Sus scrofa: one gene and its partners. The protein of the gene in region 2 interacts with the protein of the main gene of each other region in a pairwise test. Links are inferred from orthologs where the notes say so. Each region holds a gene or a part of one and is shown on either strand. Other genes may lie near its edges.

Region 1 (3,432 bases), on a different chromosome or scaffold from region 2:
CGTTCGAAGCAAGCTAAGCAAACACATGCGACAAACACATGGTCTGTCCTATAGACACACAGCTACCGATCTCATGGGGACACATAAAGACCAATTTCGAATAACAACCTTCTTTCTCGTATTTAGTTATATTTTATTTGTTGATCGTAATATAGCTACATTGTCAGGACTGGAAAAAAAAAGTGGAAAGAAAAAGAAATCACTGCTCTTTCGCCCACTTAATCACTTCTTCTGTCTCTTAAAAACATGCAGCACTTAACTGACAGAACATGTAAATCAACTAAGATAAAAAAATTTTTTTTAAAAAAGTACACCTCTAACCTTAAAAAAAAAAAAAAGGGAAAAAACATGCAGCACACTTTAAAGTGAAATGCTGTGATTATGTATTTCTCCCTCAGGTGTATCACATTTCCAGAAACACGTGGTTCAAAATGGAGACGAGAATGATCAAGAACGTCTGTGCCCCCGCCGTGGTGCTGGGGGAGCGGATCGTCATCGTGGGAGGTGAGTTTGAACAGAGGATGGAGAGCGGACACCAACGTGGCATCTCCCACGGAAAAAGCGTCGCGGATAGACAGATGCTGTTCTCTGGGACAGTTTTTTTTTTTTTTTAAAGCACACCCAGCCAATCAGGGGGGGTATGGACAGCTTAACAAAGCTCTCTCCTCATCCAGAAATTTCTCTATTTATCTGCAAACAAGGAATAAAATCATACCTATTTCATAGAGTTGCGAGCATAAAATAGTGCTCACATCTCTAAACCTCTCAGCACGATCCCAGACCCGGCGCAAACAGTCAAAAAACATTTGCTGTTGTAAATAAGATTAGCTGCTTAGGGATCATTTCTCGGTAACTGCAGTATAATGTTAGGGTTACGAGGGCTGGTTGGTGGGGTGGTCAGATGGACGTGGGTTCAAATCCTGACTCTGCCACTAACTGGCTCTATATTCTGAGGCAAGTTATTAACCTCTTTGTGCATCTTTTTGCTGACTTGCACAATGTGGCTCCTAAAAGTACCCACCAGATAGGGCTGTTGTGGGGACTCACTTTTGAGTTCCCAAAAGCACCTTCATTGGACTGTTAAAACTCTTGGATGAGCGTATTTAGGAATTTAGGAATAACATACACACACTACTATATATAAAATAGATACACAACAAAGACCTGTATAGCACAGGGAACTATACTTAATATTTTGTGTAACTGAATGTAATTGAACCACTTTGCTGCATACCCGAAACAAATATATTGTAAATCAACCATACAATAATTAAAAAAAAAAATCAAAAGCTAACAAGGCTGAGAAGGCCCATGGCATCTCTGCTCTCTACGATGTAGAGGCTAGGGTCAGACGGATCTGGGTCCAAACCCCGGCTCTGCCATACACGAGACCTTGGGCGGGTTCATGAAACATTCCACGCTTCAGTTGAGAGTCCAGCCTCAGAGGTAGGTGCTGGCAGAGGTCGGACAGGTCTCCCGGCCGCTCGTCTCCAGTTCCAAATGAGTATCGCTGACCTGGTTGATATGCCACTTGGCTTTCAGGTTACACGCGGAGGATCCTTGCTTACGACCCCCAGTCCAACAAATTCGTCAAATGTGCGGACATGAAAGACCGGAGGATGCACCACGGGGCGGCGGTGATGGGGAAGAAGCTCTACGTGACGGGAGGGCGGCGGCTGACCACGGACTGCAGCATCGAGGACCTGGCCTCCTTTGACTGCTACGACCCCGAGACAGACACCTGGACGTCCCAGGGCCAGCTGCCACACAAGCTCTTTGACCACGCCTGCCTCACTCTCCAATGCATCCCCCACTCTGTCACGGTCCCCTCAGGCCCATGAGAAACTGAGAAGCCACCTGGCTTAGTCGAGATGCTCTTATGGCAAGAGACAGAACCCGATTCCAAGAGCTTAACTCTGAAAGGGTGCAGGGAGAGCTCTCAGGACTGAAAGTTCTAGAGCCTGGAGGCCTGAGACCAAGCCTACTGTTCACAGAACTCTCTGTCTCTGTATCTCTTGTCTGTCTTTCCTCTCTCCCTTCCTCCCTCCCTCCCTCCTTCTCTACCTCATTGCCATTAGGGTTTATTCTGCAAACAAGCTTCTTTAGCCTCTTCATCCAGTGTGAGGAAATGTGACAGAAAGTCTAGCAATCTGGCACCTTTAGGAAAGAACTTTACTCTTATCCATAGAAACGCCCCCTCCCCAAAACAATGCCGATTGGTTCTTTTTGAATTCCCTGTCTCCCGCAATACTTCCAGAGACTGTAGACTGTGCTTCCCGAGACTGTGCAAGTGAGCTTGACCTGGATCCTGTCTCCACAGGCAGAGGTGGGGTTAACGACTGTCGCTGATAAAACTGCCAGACTGCACCTAATGGGACAGAAGTGGTTCCCCAAAGCAAGAAATGCCGGGCCGATAAGAACCACATCTGCCCAGAGAGCATGGCCATTAGGAACAAGAGGGTGAAGACACCCAAAGGGGTCCCTGGAAGCATCTGGTCCAGGCGGCAGAAAGAGCAACTGGCTGAGCCCATGTTCCTCTACCTTCTAGAACGTAGCGCATTGGAACTCCAGGAGAGTATGCGAACCTCAGTTGCTAGTGTTTGCAAAAGTATCTGCACCACTGGAATAAAGTTTGTTTCTGATGCCAAATGATGTTTTTCTCCAGCCTCCAGCGAGCTATAAACCTGCAGAATTAATCACGATTTTCATTTTGGTAAATGTTACGAGAATTGCTTTCCTGAGGAAAGCCAACAAATTCTTTCAGAGATTACAGCCCTTCCAATGCCAGGGCTGACTTTCCCCGTGGCCCTCTTTATCTCACAGTGCCTCCCACACTAGCTCGGTCCCAAACTCAGGAATCAGTTGAAGCTAGGGGCACACTACAATCACCTGGGAAGACGTTTGAAAATGGGGCGGAGCCCAAATCAAGATGGACAGACAGGGATTCCCAGAGGCGGGGCCAGGGCTCCGCATTGTTGAAAAGCATCCCAGTTCATTGCAATGACTGGCAGTCAGGTGGAGAACCACCACCCTTCTCAGCACTGGAGACCGTCCTGTGCTGGTCTCTTCCCCATCCTATCTCCCCAGACCTGCCCCAGCCCAGGGTAGGTAGAGTCCCCTCCCGACCAATGGAAGCCTCTGGGATGCGTCTTGCTGCCCTGAGCCAGGCACCAGAGTGCCCCCAAGCTGAAGCCTTCCACCCCGGCCAGCTCTCCAGGTCCATGTTCTGGACTTTTCCTTTCTTCCTAGTTTGTATTTTTTTTTTTTTTTCACTTTTTCTCCCACTGGGGTCTGAAGCTCTGCTCAGCTCCCCAGACCACCTGGCTGTGATCCAGACACCCTCCCCAGACAGTCAGCCCCCACTGCTCATCCTCCACGCTGTCCCCAGAGCGTCTGGCTGGCCTAACTCCAACCTCTTCTCTTTGAACCTCC
Region 2 (3,943 bases):
CTGGAGACGCTGAACATAGCCTTGGAGCTGGGTAGCCACCTCCTGCAGTGTGGGCTTATCCACACTGTTGCCCTCGCGGCTACAGGAAACAGAAGAGGATCCTATGTCAGCACTGGTGGGCTCCATTGTCTTCCATCCTATTGACTGTGATGGGTCCTTCCTATGCCATCTGTGGTGGGCATGGTCAAACCAATATGGTGGGTACCACACTGTAAACCTCAATGATCAAAATCATCTATCAGTGATGAATGATGGATGAACACTATCATGCCAATGGGTACAGTCACTCATGCCATCGTGGTAGATGCCATCATGTCAACCCAATGGGCACCATCACACAACTTGCCGACCCTGCTAGGCAGCATCATGCCAACTCCAGTGGATACCAACATCAAGCCAACCCCACTAAGTACCATCATGCCAGTTCTAATCCATGGGCACCATCATCCATCATCATCATGCCAACTCTGATGCGTCCTAAACCAACCCCAGTGGGTGTCACCATCACCCCAACTTTGTTGAGTAGCAACCAGCCAACACCAGTCAGGTTTCATGCCAACCATAAGAGCCATGGAACTTCCCAGTGTGGGACTGATTCTGGGAGCCCAGTTCTCCAATCAGAACCTCACTCATTGGCTCACCCGGTACCCAGGGTTCCCTTGGGTACCTTGGATGTGGAGCCTGAAGTGTCCCTCCATCCATGGCAGCCTTCTCTTGCATCAGCAGCCTCTGAGCTTCCTTTTCAGCTGCCTCCAAGTCACTCGTGAGGGCTTTCTCTCCTGCTCTGGAATCTGCCTCCCGGAGAGTGAGCAGGGCTCCATACGCCTCCTCACAGTGTTCACTGTGGGACATGAGCTCTAAGCACTCCAGGACACCCATCTTGCTGTGTCGGTGACATCCCCACTTGCTCTGGGACCCCCTCACTTCTCCTCCCCTCCCCCACACCTGGGAGTTCATAAACTCCTCCAGCCTTTTTAAGGCTGCACCCACGGCATATGGAAGTTCCCAGGCTGGGGGTAGGATGGGAACTGCTCCTCCAGCCCTCTTGGACTAAAATCGCCTGAAGTTAAGTTCCCTGGTAAGGGAAAAGTACTTTTCTGTGAGGGCCCTGCCTCTCTCTAGGGACGTGTGAGGTCCCTGCCTCTCTCTAGGGACGAGGGCCATCCTTTGAGGATGCCCATTTCCTTCCCAGTCAGTGACATCATGGGTGGGGTGCACTGACCTATACTGCAAGGCTAGATGCAGCGCAGTGGCCTCAGCCTCCAGCTGGCCCAGCTGCATGCTGAGGCCCTCACACCGGCCCTTGTACTCCTGGAGCACAGCCGACAGCAGACGGTTGAAGCATTTGAGCTTTTCAATGTTCCTGCCTCCCGAAGTGGAAAAGAAGGAAAGTGAGATGCCTTGAAGGACAGTTAGGACCTGATTGACTTCCACCCTCCCTCCCCCTCCAGCTCCAGACTCCTGGAGACTCCTCTTCCAGCTGGGAGGCACCAGTGCCCTTACGAGCTCAGCATTTGTGGCTCTTACCCTCGCAGCTGCTCCATCTGGGCTTCCACGATGTGCATCTCAGGGGCAAGCGGTTCAAGCATCTGGGTGCTGGAATCACTCTGGAGGCGCCGAAGCAGGGGATGAGCTGGGGAGAAAGGATCCTGCCAGAAGGCAGAAGGAGGTGAATTTTTTAAAAAAATACACTCCTGTGTGAATCAATCTCTCTCTCTTTTTTTTTTTTGGAGGTGCCAACAGCATATGGAAGTTTCCATGCCAGAGATCCAACCAGTGCCACAGCACTGATAACACCAGATCCTTAACCCACTGCACCACCAGGGAACTCCAGAAGGTGGCTGGATTCACCCAGATTGTCACCAAGAGCCCAGCATCATGGCTTTAGGGCTTTTCCAACCTCACAAGCTATTGGATCCATGACCAGGAACTGAGTCCCATGGCCTAAACCCTAAGCATCTTAAGATCATGGTTTTCAGCTTCCCACACTCACCTGAGTGTCCCAGGTCTCCCTGTCAGCCCCAGAGCTGCTGGAACCACTTCTAGAGCCACCTGCTTGGTCACCAGAGGGCGATGAGAAGGGCTCCAGCCTCAGCAGGGAATCCTGCAGCTCCTGGACCTGTATGGGAAAGGGGGGTGTCAGGCCTGGGGGCTCTAGCATTCTTACCTAAGATCTGTTCCTAGGGCAGTGGCAAGAGCCCTGGCTGGAAGGCAGGACCCCAGATACTCATCCTACCAAATCCCTCACTATACAACCTTGGGCAACTCACTCAGCCACTTAAGACTTCCCTTTTTTTAGATATACAGATAGCCAACAGGTATGTGAAAAGATGCTTAATATCGCTAAGTCTCAGGGAAATGCAAATCAAAACCACCATGTGGGGAGTTCCTGTCATGGTTCAAGGGTAACGAACCCAACTAATATCCATGAGGATGTGGGTTTGACTCCTGGCCTCACTCAGGGGATTAAGGATACAGCATTGCCGTGAGCTGTGGTGTAGGTCACATACACGGCTTGGATCCCGTGTTGCTGTGGCTGTGGTGTAGGCCTGCAGCTGCAGCTCCAATTCGAGCTTCCATATGCTGTGGGTACAGCCCTAAAAAGACAAACAAACAAATGAACAAACAAAAAAACACAATGAGGAGTTTCTACTGTGTCACAACTATGGCGACCTCTTGGGAGCACTGGGACACAGGTTCAATTACCAGCCTGGCACAGTGGGTTAAGGATCTGGCATTGCTGAAGCTGTAGCTTAGGTCACAACTGCAGCTTGGATCTGATTTCTGGCCTGGGAACTCCATATGCCATAGAGCACCCAAAAAAGAAAAGAAAGGGAGTTCCTGTTGTAGCTCAGCAGAAGTAAGTCTGACTAGTATCCATGAGGATGCAGGTTTGATCCCTGGCTTTGCTCGGTTAGTTAAGGATCCAGTGTGTCCATGAACTATGGTGTAGTTTGCAGATGTGGCTTGGATCTGGTTTGGCTATGGCTGTGGCGTAGGCCAGTGGCTACACCTTCAATTTGACTCCAGCCTGGGAACCTCCATATGCCTCAGGTGCAGCCCTAAAAAGGCAAAAAAAAAAAAAAAAAAAAAAAAGATAAACACTGTATGATCTCACTTATATGTGGAGTCTAAAGAAGGAGTTTCTGCTATGGTGCAAAGGGATTGATGGCATCTCCTGCAGCATGAGGACATACATTTGATCCCCAGCTCATGTGGGTTAAAGGATTTGTCATCGCTGCAAGTGTGTCATAGGTCTCAACTGCATCTCAGATTTGATCCCTGGCCCAGGAGCTCCATATGCCGCAGGCCAGCCAAAAAATAAAAGGAATAAAATAAAATAAAATAAATGAAATGAAATAATAAAATAAAATAAAGCAAAATTGGAGTTCCCTGATGGCTCAGTGAGTTAAGGATTTGGCATTGCCACTGCATGGCTCTGGTTATTACTGTGGCAAGGGTTTGATCCCTGGCCTGGGAAAGGAACTTCTGCATGCTGCAGGTGTGGCCAATAATAATAGTAATAATAATAAATTAAAATTTTTAAAAAATTAAAAAATTGGAGTTCCTGTCATGGCTCAGTGATTAATGAATCTGACGAGGAACCATGAGGTTTCAGGTTCAATCCCTGGCCTCTCTCATTGGGTTAAGTTGTCGTGAGCTGTGATGTAGGTCACAGACGGGGTTCAAATCCCAAGTTGTTGTGTAGGCCGGTAGCTACAGCTCTGATTAGACCCCTAGCCTGGGAACCTCCATATGCCACGGGTGCAGCCCTAGAAAAAAAAGTTTAAGAATTGAACATGCAGATACAGAGAACAGATTGATATTTGCCAGAGGCAGGGGGTAGGGGGTAGGCAAACATTTTTTAAAATATATTTTTCTTTTCCATCTTGGAAATGGGCCCCACTCTGTAGGGAAATGGGCCCCACTCCTTGCACTGGCA
Region 3 (3,943 bases), on a different chromosome or scaffold from region 2:
TTTGTCTTTCTCTGCCTAACTTATTTAACATAGTATCCTCAAGGTCCATCCATGTTATCCCAGATGCCAAGATCTCCTTCTCGTATGTGGCTGAATAATGATATTCCTCTGTGTGTGTGTGTGTGTAGATCTACACATTTCTTTGTCCATTGATCCACTGATGGACACTAAGATTGTTTCCCTGTCTTGGCTGTTGTAAATAATGCTGCATTAAACATGGAGGTGCAGATATTTTTTCAAAATAGTGACTTGAGTTCCTTTGTGGCACAGCGGGTTAGGTATCTGGTATTGTCACTGCAGTGGCCCGGAGTTGCTGCTGTGGTATGGGTTCAATCCCTGGCCCAGAAACTTTCTCATGCTGCAGGTATGGCCAAAACAATAAAATAAAAAAAAAATAGTGGTTTCATTTCTTTGGATAAATACTCAGGAGTAGAATTTCTGGACCATATGGTAGTTCTGTTTTTAATTTTTTAAGTAATCTCTACCTTTAATGGAAGGTTTTCTGTGGTAGTTGCACTAATTTAGATTCCCACCAACAATAGGACTAAGGGTTCTGTTCTCCCCACATCCTCTCCAACACTTATCTCTTGTCTTTCTGATGATGGTTTTAACTGGTGCAGTGGTCTTTTTTTTTTATGATTTTTATTTTTTCCATTATAGTTGGTTTACAGTGTACAATTTCTACTGTACAGCAAAGTGACCCAGTCAAACATACGTATATGTACATTTTTTTTCTGACGTTATCCTCCACCATGTTCCATCGCGAGTGACTAGATACAGTCCTCTTCTAGACAGCAGGATCTCCTTGCTCATCCATTCCAAAGGCAGCAGTTACAGTGCAGTGGTTTCGATTTGCATTTCCCTGATGATTAGCAATACTGAGTACCTTTTCATGTGTTTTTGGCTATTTGTGTATCTTTGGAGAATTGTCTATTCAGTTCCTGGTGTCAACTAAAATCATCTCAAATAAATTATATCTTCCCTGGGAAATGAATAAACCTGCTTATTTTGGCATATTGCTAGTTTTGAAAGATTTGTTCTATTTTGTATGAAAGAATAGCATATAATTAGAAAAAATAGATAATCTTGATGTTAATTGGTTTTCTAAAATAATCATAGGCTATTTTTATTCGTAGCAATGATTAGAAATAATACTTAGGAGGTATTAAAATTTTACAGACTAGTCAGTTCACATGTGGATTCTTTGTTTTATTGGAATGTAGTTTTTCAGTATTCTGTTATCTGCTTTAATCAGCTATTATCTGACAGGTCCTGGAGTTGTTAATTCACAGAGATGGGGAATTTCAAGAACTAATGAAATTAGCACTTAATCAGGGGAAAATTCATCATGAAATGCAACTTTTAGAAAAAGAAGTAGAAAAGAGAGACAGTGATATTCAGCAACTACAAAAACAGCTAAAGGAAGCAGAACAGATACTGGTAAGTGGGTAAAGACTGTTTCTTTTTTTTTTTTTTTTTGTCTTTTTTTTTTTTTTTTTTGCCATTTCTTGGGCCACTCCTGTGGCATATGGAGGTTCCCAGGCTAGGGGTCGAATTGGAGCTGTAAGCTGCCAGCCTACGCCAGAGCCACAGCAACGCAGGATCCGAGCCGCGTCTGTGACCTACACCACAGCTCACGGCAACGCCGGAACCTTGACCCACTGAGCAAGGGCAGGGATCGAACCCGCAACCTCATGGTTCCTAGTCGGATTCATTAACCACTGCGCCACGAAGGGAACTCCGAGACTGTTTCTTAATGGAAAAAGGGGTATTACTTACTCTCTGAAAAATAAATCTTTTATCAGTATTTTGAAGTGGTAGAAAAACTTGAATTTCCAAGTCTAAAAGTGACAACTACTTTCAGAGAGTCTCTGTTACGTATTACTTTTTCATTATTTTCATTATTTAGTTATTTAAAGATTTCTTAAGATTAAATTAATAGAAATGAGAAGTTTTATTTGTATCTTGTCCTGATGTAAATTTTCATTTATTAATATTGTAAATCTTTACTTCAATTTTAGAAATATCTTGAAATCAGTAAAAATACATACCAGTTTTGTAACTTGATTAAAATTAACATCAGTTTATTTATTTTAGTCTTCCATCCCAAACTGAATGGAATTTGGATTTATGTCAAGGACTCCAGTTTTTCCATTCTTGTTCTTGGCTACTATTTCAAAGAGACAGTTAATTTGCTATTATTTGCTCAGTTTTTTTTTTTTTTTACTAAATACTAACTAATGCAATTGTTATTTGGTGATATTGCATGAAGAGTGGAGCTTGATTCTCATATGGACCAGACATTGCTGGCTATTCTCTAGATTAGATCTTCAAAAGTGTTGTTATTGAGTTAAAGACTGAACACAAAGACCATAAAAGACTGAATTTTGTGTTTTAGATAATAGCAACTAACATTTATTAAGAGCACTTGTGCACCAGGGCCTGTGCTTTTGCATTTTTATTTGTATTATCTCAATCTTCTTAACAATTACATGAGGTCAGTATCATTACTCTGTTTCACAGAAGGAGAAATTATGATTTTAAATGAATACCTACCTTGCCCAAGAGGGTAAAAGTAGAGAGATGGAACTTAAACCTAGATCTCTCTGACTCCATACCCCCCCCTTTTTTAGGGCTACACCCACAGTATGTGGAGGTTCCCAGGCTAGGGGTTGAATCAGAGCTATAGCTGCCGGCCTACACTACAGCTCACGGCAATGCTGGATCCTTAACCCACTGAGCGAGGCCAGGGATCGCACCCGCAACCTCATGGTTTATAGTCGGATTTGTTCCCACTGCGCCACAACGGGAACTCCTCTGACTCCATACTCTTACCCACTGTGTCATAGTGCTAAGTTAACTTCATTTTACCCTTAGTTAGCCTTTGCCCAGGGGTTGGTGGGTGAAGGAGTTCACTATTAGTCATTAAGTATGGAGGTAAGGTAACATATAAATGAATGAGACGATCAGTCCAAGAATGTATCTTGTAAACTAGGGAAAAAAGTGTCTTTGGTACTGGTCGCAAGAATAGGGTGCTTTGGAGGTGGTACGTGGTCTGTTTTCTGCATGCTTATGGTAGAAGACAAAGGAAAAATGGTATTAAACAATCTAATTTACATTTTGTTTCTAACCACTAGTTTGTGAATGGAGACTACCTCATGAGTATAATGTTTATTTTTTTTTTCTCTTGACTATATAACTTAGGTAAATGCTATCCAAGTGGTGTTTCATAAATGACAAGGAATTCCTGTTGTGGCTCAGGGCGTTAAGAACCCAGCTAGTATCCTTGAGGATGCGGGTTTGATCCCTGGCCTTGCTCAGTGGGTTATGGATCCTGCACTGATGGGAGCTGCGGCATAGGTCTCAGACGCGGCTCCCATCTGGTGTGGTTGTGGCTGTGGTGTAGGCCCGCAGCTCCAACTCCAGTTCAACCCCTAGCCTGAGAACTTCCATATGCTGATGGTGTGGCCATAAAAAGGAAAAAAAAAGACAAATTGTGGGGCTTTCCCAAATTTTGCGTATTGTTCCTCTGTGATAAATGGTTTTGTGAATTAAGCCAAAAACTGGGCTTGGTATAGTCTTGAATAATCCATATTTCTTTTTTTAATGTTTAATTAATTAGGCAACAGCTGTTTACCAAGCAAAAGAGAAACTCAAGTCAATAGAAAAAGCAAGAAAAGGTTAGTATGGTGGGAACACTGAATGACTTTCTGAAAAATCCAAGAGACTGACTCTGAGAGTGTTACTGGTAATCATCTGCTGCTGTTGAAAAAGCTTCAGTAAATTCTCACTGTGAAGTGCCTCCTGTGTCACAGTGCTGTGCTGGGCATTGCTAGGGAACCCCTTCCTGTTGTAAGAAGCAATAATGCAGGTTATGGCTATTACCCAAATGTGCACTAGAGACAATGGGTTTTTTAAATTTTGGGGAGAAAATATGGGCTGG
Region 4 (3,943 bases), on a different chromosome or scaffold from region 2:
TGCCGGGCACTCGAGCACAGGAGGCGCCAAGAAGCAAATGGACATGGTCACTATTGACTGACCACACAGCCGGCGAGAACATTCCACATATGCTGGGGCATTCAGTGCTCTCAGTGCCTAGGGATCAAAGATAGCATCTCCTCACATCGCAGATAAGGATGTGGACTCAGAGGTGAAGCAATTTCTCCACACACGGTGCAGGGTCCGATCTGACCAGGCCCCACTCCTCAGCCAGAGCCCCTAACCACGCGCCCGGGGCAGCTGCAGCAAGTCGGGTTTAGCTGAGCTCCAAAGGAGGGGAGGAAAGGGGACAAGGCACCCAGGGGACACAGCACAGGCTGGAGCTAATGGGAATGCAGCTGGAAGGAGCTAATCCTGCCAGGGGTCCAGGCCAGGCCAGTCCCAGGGGCTCAAGGGCAGCCCAGGGACAAGTGAAGCCAGCTACAGCCCACAGAGGGGTCAGGGTAGCATCCTGAGCAGTGGAAGGAAGAGGCAGGAGCCTGGGCCTGGGGGAAAGGGCTGGGGGAGGTGGGGGGACTCAGGGGAGGGTGATGGAGAAGGAGGGCAGGAACTTGATGGGGGAGGGGAGGGAAGCACAGAGGGGATGGGGGAAGGGAGGTGAGGAGGTCAGAGAGGATGGGGAAGAGGGGTCAGGAGCTCAAAGTTGGCAGGAGCTTTCAGCCTTGAGGCTCGACACCTGACTTGAAAGTGGTATGGCCAGAGCAACATCTGACCTGAAAGTAGCATGGCCAGAGCAGAGCCGCCCTTTCAGGTCTGCGTGTACCCTGAGGCACCTGGCACCCGGCACCCGATTTGATGTTCACCCCGCTGGTGGAAGGGTGGGAGGGGCTGAGCTTCCTCTCCCCTGGGCCCCTGCAGGGGCCTCCTCCTTAAGATAGGACTCCCGGGCTCCAGAACATTAGAATCAGCCCCAGTTTGCCCAATACAGACGCCCCAGCTCACCTATCCCCTGGCCTGCTGCCCCAGGGCCTGTGGGAAGTGGTACCCAACAGAGGGAGAGCCAAAGAAAGGAGCCAGAGCATCAGGGCCAGCCAGAGGCTACCTCCATGGGCCCAAGGGTCCTTGGGGCGGGAGCAGTCTAGCAGCTGGGGACCAGGCCATGGGGAAAGGAAGGGAAGAGCGTGGGAGGGTTCCAGGAGGAAAAGCTGCTGGAAGTGAAAAACATGTTGTTCATCGGGTAGGAGAGTGAAATCAAGGTCCCTCCGTGTGGAAGAATCAAAAAGCAAAAGAAGGAAGACGACACACAGAGGGAGCTTGTGGCTGGGTGGCTTTTACAAGTGGCTTCTGAGCTGGCCGTACTCTGTGTGTAAAGCACAGAGCCGGGGGGAGGGGGGCTGCTCTGTTTTGGAGGGAGAGGGTAGGAATCCACAGAGCCAGGACCAGAAAGCAGCTGTCTGGTCTGACTCCTTCCCCAAAGGGGCAGGGCAGCCCCCTCCGGCCAAGAGGATGACTCTCCTCCAACAAGGAGGCCTGAGCCCAGCTCAGGGACAAGGAGGGGAGGGGAGGGGCAGTGCTGGCAGGCCTTTGGCCCTAGAGCCCAGGAACAGACATTCTTACAGCTTCTGGCAGTCACCTGCCAGGGTCTGGCCTCTCATCTGGGCAGGTGTCCCTGGAGAACTTCCCATAGGACTCAGCCCAGGGTTCAGCTCCGGGCATGACCCAGGTGCCACCAAGCTCCCCCAGCTTTGCTATGTCCCAAGTGGACTCAGCATCGTCCCCCCACTCGTGCTCCCCAGGGTCAGCCCAGGTTCCTCCTGCCCCCTCCCTAATGAACAAGCGATCTCCAATAAATCTCTCTGCTCTGCCCCTGCTCACCAGCCCCACCAGTATCACCCTATGCTGGGCATCATCTCATCTTCTGCCCAGATGATTGTAACCACCTCCCAATGGGCTCTCAGCCTTAAGCCTTGCCCCCTCCACTCAACAGGCTTCGGACGTCTTAAGTGCCTCAGTTTCCACATCTGTAAAATGGAATAACCCCAGCTCATGTCAAGACTATTTATGAAAATGCTTTAAAGGAAGTTAAGTGTGGTCCAAATGGGAAGTAATGTTTTTGGAACAAGGATGAGAGGGTTGTGCCTGGAGATTTAGGGGGATCCGGCCAAAGGTGGGACTCCCATGTTTTCGGTTTCGGTTTTTACCCTGCTGGAAACTTGTGAAACCAAGAGAGTGCCATCATCTTCCAAAGAGTCAGCCCGGGAGCCACGCTCATGTTCCCACGGGACTGTCACTGCCTCTGACTGTGGAGACCAATGAGAGCTCCCACTCGTGGGGCTGAAGGCATGCAAGGTCAGCGGGAGGTGCTGCGTCCAGCCCAGCGTGGGCGAGAACACACCCCCATCTATTGGAGAGGACCTGGAGGCTCAGAGAACAGAACCCGAGTCAAGTCACGCCTGGGGGTAGAGTGGCAATGAGGACCCAGCCGTGACCATCTCCAGAGCCCAGAGAAGAACCTTCAGGGCAATGACCTCCATTCTTTGTGGAGAATGGACCCGGCTTTCAGAAGGGGCCAGTTCTATGGGCCCAAATCTCTGGAGTGCATCCCTCTGGATATCAGCACTCGACTTAGGAATAAAAGGGGATGGCGTCCCATAAAAGCAGGTAGATTTCAATAGTTTGCTGTAAGGGAACCTGGAAAAAGAGTCCGAAGAGGAGGCCAAGCCCTGGGACCACAGGACACTTCCAAAGCAGAGGGACTGCTTTCAAAGGCCACAGCTTTGGGAGGGGGGATGTTCTGTGAACTGTGGTGCCTGAGACAAATGAGATCTTGTTACATCTTGTATCTCTGGGTCCCCGGAGCCTTAGAAAGGTGAGCAAACAGAGTCTAGGTTAGGTGCTCAGTGATGAAAGCTGAGGCCTTTCCCTCCTGTCCCTGTGTCAGTGGCAAAGCGTGGGAGGCCTCGGGGCACCTCCTCGTGCTGGGAGGAGGGGCGTGAATGAGATGGCCTCTGGACAGCTGGGCACCATCAGAAGCTGCTGGACAAATCCCTTTGCAGGGGGCGCTGGGGTAGACCCTGACTCTACCTGGCTTCCAGAACTTCTTGGCTGTCATCCAGTCCCTCTCGTTATCCTCAGAGTCCTCTTGGTCCACGGGCTCACCCACCCACTGCAGGCCGTAGTCCCCAAGGAACCGCTGCGGGGAGAGAGAAGGGAGGTGTCCAGGGCCCTGTCAGCTCAGCCCCTTCCAGGGGAAAAGGCAGCACCAGCCCAGCCTCCAGCCTGGGCTCCCAAAGCTGACTGGATCGGGGGGATGGGCCCCAGGGTCTTGAACCACTTCCTGGCTGTGACCTTGGGAAGCCATTTCGCTGCCTAGAGCCTCAGGCTCCTTGTGAAATGAAGCTTGTGAGGAAGACTAAGATAATTCATGTCATGTACTTAGTACCGGGCCTGGCACAAGCAGGAGCTCGCTGAAGGCAGGTGGGTCTGGCCTGAGAAGCAGGAGGGGCAGGGACACCCCACTTGGCAGGTCTGAGGGGACATGTCCACTCACATGTGGCCCCTCTAGGGCTGGCCTCACAGCCCCTTTGCCACAGGAAAACTTTTTTTTCTTTTTTAGGACTGCAGGTGCAGAATATGGAAGTTCCCAGGCCAGGGGTGGAATCGGAGTTGTAGCTGCCAGCCTCCACCACAGCCACAGCCACACAGGACCTGAGCCATGTCTGCAGCCTACACCACACAGCTCACAGCAACGCCAGATCCTTAACCCACTGAGCGAGGCCAGGGATGGAACCCACATGCTCGTGGATTAGTTGCGGTCTTAACCTGCTGAGCCACCACGGCCACTCCCAGGAAAACGGAGTTGTCTACACTTCCTGCTGCAGCTTCCTCATCTCCATTCTTCTCCTCGACCCACCTCAACCCAGCCTCCAACTCCACAGCTCACTGCAACTGCATACACGCAGCCACCTGCAACCTGCCTCGT
Region 5 (3,154 bases), on a different chromosome or scaffold from region 2:
CACAGACAGGTATCATAGAAAACACAGCTTGTGTGGATTTGTTTAAAAAGTGGTGGATGGAAGGAAAGCCAAGGAAGACGTGACGTAGCTGTGGCCAGACGTCACCTGAGGACTTCACTGGCATCTACCAGATGCCAGGTTCCACCACCGCAGCATCCCAGGACACAACACGCCCAGTGGCTCTGCCCTTTGGACCCTCCCGCAGAGCCTCCTGACTGGGGAAGAGTTGGGGCAGAGGCTGCCACCAAAGGCTGGGCCATTTCACCCTGTGGGCAGAGGCAGCGGGCACAGACAGGCAGACAGGAACCCTGGGGGTGGGGAGGGGAAATGAACCCAAGTCCTCCACCCAGACTTTAGTCCTTCCAGACGTGGGCAGAGAGCCCACGTCCCCAAGGAAAACGGCCCTGGTGGGGGTGGGGGGGGAGCGGGCAGGGAGTTCTGTTCACACTGGAGTCTCCTGGCTGCCCCAAGCTGGGCCCTGAGACCCTCTATGGTCTGTTTTGGGGAAGGGGGGTTCCTGAACGGGACACAGGTTGGGCACAGGGACAGGAAGGGACCCAACCAGGACGAGATCACAGTTTCCCTTTTTATAAAACGGCTAGTGTTGGGGGGAAGACGGTGAATACCTAAATCACGACTGTAAACAGGAATGGAGGAAGGGGCGTGGAGGCCCCATTACATCAGCCGCCCTCTCTTTCCAGCCGGCTCAGGGCCCCCAGTCCCCAGCACAGCGTGAGAGCAGAAGCAGGGTGTCAGACACCTTTGGGGGCCCACGGGGAGCCGGGGGCCTTGGGAGATCAGGTTGGTGCCCCCCGCCCCAGGACCAAGCGCAGCCACACCCCAGGGCTCAGCGAGATCCGCTGGGTGCTCCCCAGACTGGAGTCATGACCGGGCCGATAAGGGGCATATGGGAAGGGGTCAGACCAGTGTCCCCGGGGTCTGGGGGTCGGAACCGGAGGACGGCTCCCCCTCTAGCGTCAGGTCACTTAAACGAGCGCTCAGCTCCGGGGGGTACAGGAAGTCCGCGTAGTATCTTTAGGAGGGGTAGCAGGAATCCGGAGGACAGGGTGGGAAGACAGAGGACAGAGGAAAAGACGGACAAGACACAGAAAGAGAGAGGAAAAGAGGCTCGTTAAAGAGGTGGAGGCAGGCACAGGACAGCATCTTTAAGGCTCGCAAGCATGGGGCACGGTGAAAAGAGAAGAGAAAGGCGAGGGCACGGGACGTCCCTTCCTCCCAGCACCCTGATGCCAAGGCTCACTTGCAGCTGACATGCACTGGTAGTTCAGACCTTCACATTCCCATATTGCCTGGTGAAGAACTGCTGCTACCAAGGCCCAACACACCCCTCGGCCGAGACCCCGCAGACTAATGCAGGTCGGGCAAGGCCCAGTGAGCCCGGGGCGAGGGCCGCGGCCAGTTCTCCCCAGGGCTGTGTCACTCGCTAGCCGGGACAAGCTGCTCCCTAGCCTGGACCCTCTGGCCACCTGCCTCAAGAGACCCCCTACCCATCAGTAAAAGCACCCCCCGTACCTGCCGGAGACAGGGGGCGCCGTGAAACTCCTCGAGTGCGGGAGCGGCGCCTGGCTGGGGGCCCCATACAGCGCCTGGCCCACCTCATAGCAGCGGGCATGGAGGAAGGACGGGTGCTGCGGGACCATGTGGGGGAGCCCAGGCCGGCGCTGGGGCCCCGAGGCCAGTCCCGAGTTCCGGATGTACCAGTCCCGCAGCCCCTCCAGGGCAAGGTTCTTGTGGCCGCTGCGCTCGCCAGCTGGGGGGATGCGGGCAGGTGGGGGCATCCACATCAGAGGGTTGGGATGCACCTCTGGCCCCTCGGTGGCCTCCAGGGGCAGGCCACAGGGCTTGGCGCGGGGGGCACGGCCGTGGGGGTCCTTGCTGCGGAGGAGGGGGCTGCTGCCGTCAGCTGCGTACACAGGCGGTGGGCCGGGGAGCATGGCGAGGAGCCCATCCCGGCGGGAGAGGGGTCCTGGGACATCGGCTGCAGGCAGCAGCTCCCCCCAGCCTGTCCCGCCGCCGCCACCACGGGGCAGACCCCGGTCCAGGGAATAGTCCAACAGGAAGTCCCCACACACGGGTGGGAGCCGGGGAGCCCCACGGGAGGCGGGGGCGGCCGAGCTGGGCCGGGCAGCCCGAGGAGGGTCTGGGGGACCAGCGGTGCGAGAGGAGAAGGCCGGGGTTGGTTGGGGGCGCTCATACAGCACCTCACTGCTCTTGCAGACCGGGGGACCGGCGGCAGGGGGAACCAGAGGCGCAGGAGGGGAGCCAGCTCCCGCACCAGCTGCCCGGTCCACCAGCAGGGCCTCAGAGCTATTGCTGCGGCGGGTTCGAGCTGCGAAGAGGGAGGCGCGGTCGGAGACAGGGTCTGCCCGGGGGAAGCCCATCTGGGAGTCCTGGCTGCCGGACCACTGGCGAGAATGCAGGCCTTCAGGTCTGGGGGCACAAGGGGTGGTGATGGGAGAAGGGTCAGAAATGACAGGCAGATGGGATGAGTGCCCTCCCTACCCCGCCTCTCTCTTTTTTTTAATTAAAAAAATTTTTTTTTTGCTTTTTAGGGCCGCACCTATGGCATATGGAGGTTCCCAGGCGAGGGGTCCAGTTGGAGCTAAGCTGCCAGCCTACGCCACAGCCACAGCAATGCAGGAGCCGAGCCACATCTGTGACCTACACCACAGCTCACAGCAAGGGCAGATCCTTAACCCACTGAGCGAAGCCAAGGATAGAACCCGTGACCTCATAGTTCCTAGTTGGATTCATTTCCGCTGTGCCACGACAGGAACTCCTACTGGCCCCCCACCCCCGAGCCTTCACTTCCACACCCTCAAAAAGGGCCCCAGATGGATTCAAAAGCGTGTGTATAAAGGTGTCAGGTGGGGGCATTTAAAGGGCGGCAGAGGATCTGCCCGGGACTGGGGGGCAGAGGGGCTGAAAATGTATGGGGGTGCTTGGGACTGTTAGCTTGGAGATGAAAGTGTGTGCAGGGCTGGGGCAGGGGGTGCAGGGTTGAGGACTTTTTCTACACATCTGACCCCTCATTCCCTGCTAAGGGGCTTCTCAGGGCTCCCCGCCTCCTCTAGGATGAGGTCCTAAACCTTAGGCCAGAAATTCAAGACCCTTCCTGAATTATCTGTCCCAA

The links.
Region 1: the proteins of USHBP1 (region 2) and KLHL38 interact in binary tests that used the Homo sapiens proteins (3 or more experiments, as listed by UniProt). The two-hybrid records come from large-scale screens. The link is inferred for Sus scrofa from reciprocal best matches to the Homo sapiens genes USHBP1 and KLHL38.
Region 3: the proteins of USHBP1 (region 2) and MED4 interact in binary tests that used the Homo sapiens proteins (3 or more experiments, as listed by UniProt). The two-hybrid records come from large-scale screens. The link is inferred for Sus scrofa from reciprocal best matches to the Homo sapiens genes USHBP1 and MED4.
Region 4: the proteins of USHBP1 (region 2) and UBXN11 interact in binary tests that used the Homo sapiens proteins (3 or more experiments, as listed by UniProt). The two-hybrid records come from large-scale screens. The link is inferred for Sus scrofa from reciprocal best matches to the Homo sapiens genes USHBP1 and UBXN11.
Region 5: the proteins of USHBP1 (region 2) and CCDC120 interact in binary tests that used the Homo sapiens proteins (3 or more experiments, as listed by UniProt). The two-hybrid records come from large-scale screens. The link is inferred for Sus scrofa from reciprocal best matches to the Homo sapiens genes USHBP1 and CCDC120.

Annotation. Positions count from the first base shown.
Region 1 is NC_010446.5:15,798,822-15,802,253, forward strand, and holds the end of KLHL38 (kelch-like protein 38), read left to right. Parts: intron 1-398; coding exon 399-504; intron 505-1,542; coding exon 1,543-1,841; 3' UTR 1,842-2,652; downstream 2,653-3,432.
Region 2 is NC_010444.4:60,414,447-60,418,389, reverse strand, and holds part of USHBP1 (Usher syndrome type-1C protein-binding protein 1), read right to left. Parts: intron 2,120-3,943; coding exon 1,994-2,119; intron 1,650-1,993; coding exon 1,528-1,649; intron 1,364-1,527; coding exon 1,223-1,363; intron 842-1,222; coding exon 668-841; intron 80-667; coding exon 1-79.
Region 3 is NC_010453.5:19,558,195-19,562,137, forward strand, and holds part of MED4 (mediator of RNA polymerase II transcription subunit 4), read left to right. Parts: intron 1-1,269; coding exon 1,270-1,440; intron 1,441-3,622; coding exon 3,623-3,680; intron 3,681-3,943. UniProt on the Homo sapiens protein: Component of the Mediator complex, a coactivator involved in the regulated transcription of nearly all RNA polymerase II-dependent genes.
Region 4 is NC_010448.4:83,697,236-83,701,178, forward strand, and holds part of UBXN11 (UBX domain-containing protein 11), read right to left. Parts: intron 3,155-3,943; coding exon 3,046-3,154; intron 1-3,045. UniProt on the Homo sapiens protein: May be involved in the reorganization of actin cytoskeleton mediated by RND1, RND2 and RND3. Promotes RHOA activation mediated by GNA12 and GNA13.
Region 5 is NC_010461.5:43,143,490-43,146,643, reverse strand, and holds the end of CCDC120 (coiled-coil domain-containing protein 120), read right to left. Parts: intron 2,452-3,154; coding exon 1,534-2,451; coding exon of another isoform or gene 1,512-1,533; exon of another isoform or gene 1,034-1,511; coding exon 919-1,033; 3' UTR 781-918; downstream 1-780. UniProt on the Homo sapiens protein: Centriolar protein required for centriole subdistal appendage assembly and microtubule anchoring in interphase cells. Together with CCDC68, cooperate with subdistal appendage components ODF2, NIN and CEP170 for hierarchical subdistal appendage assembly.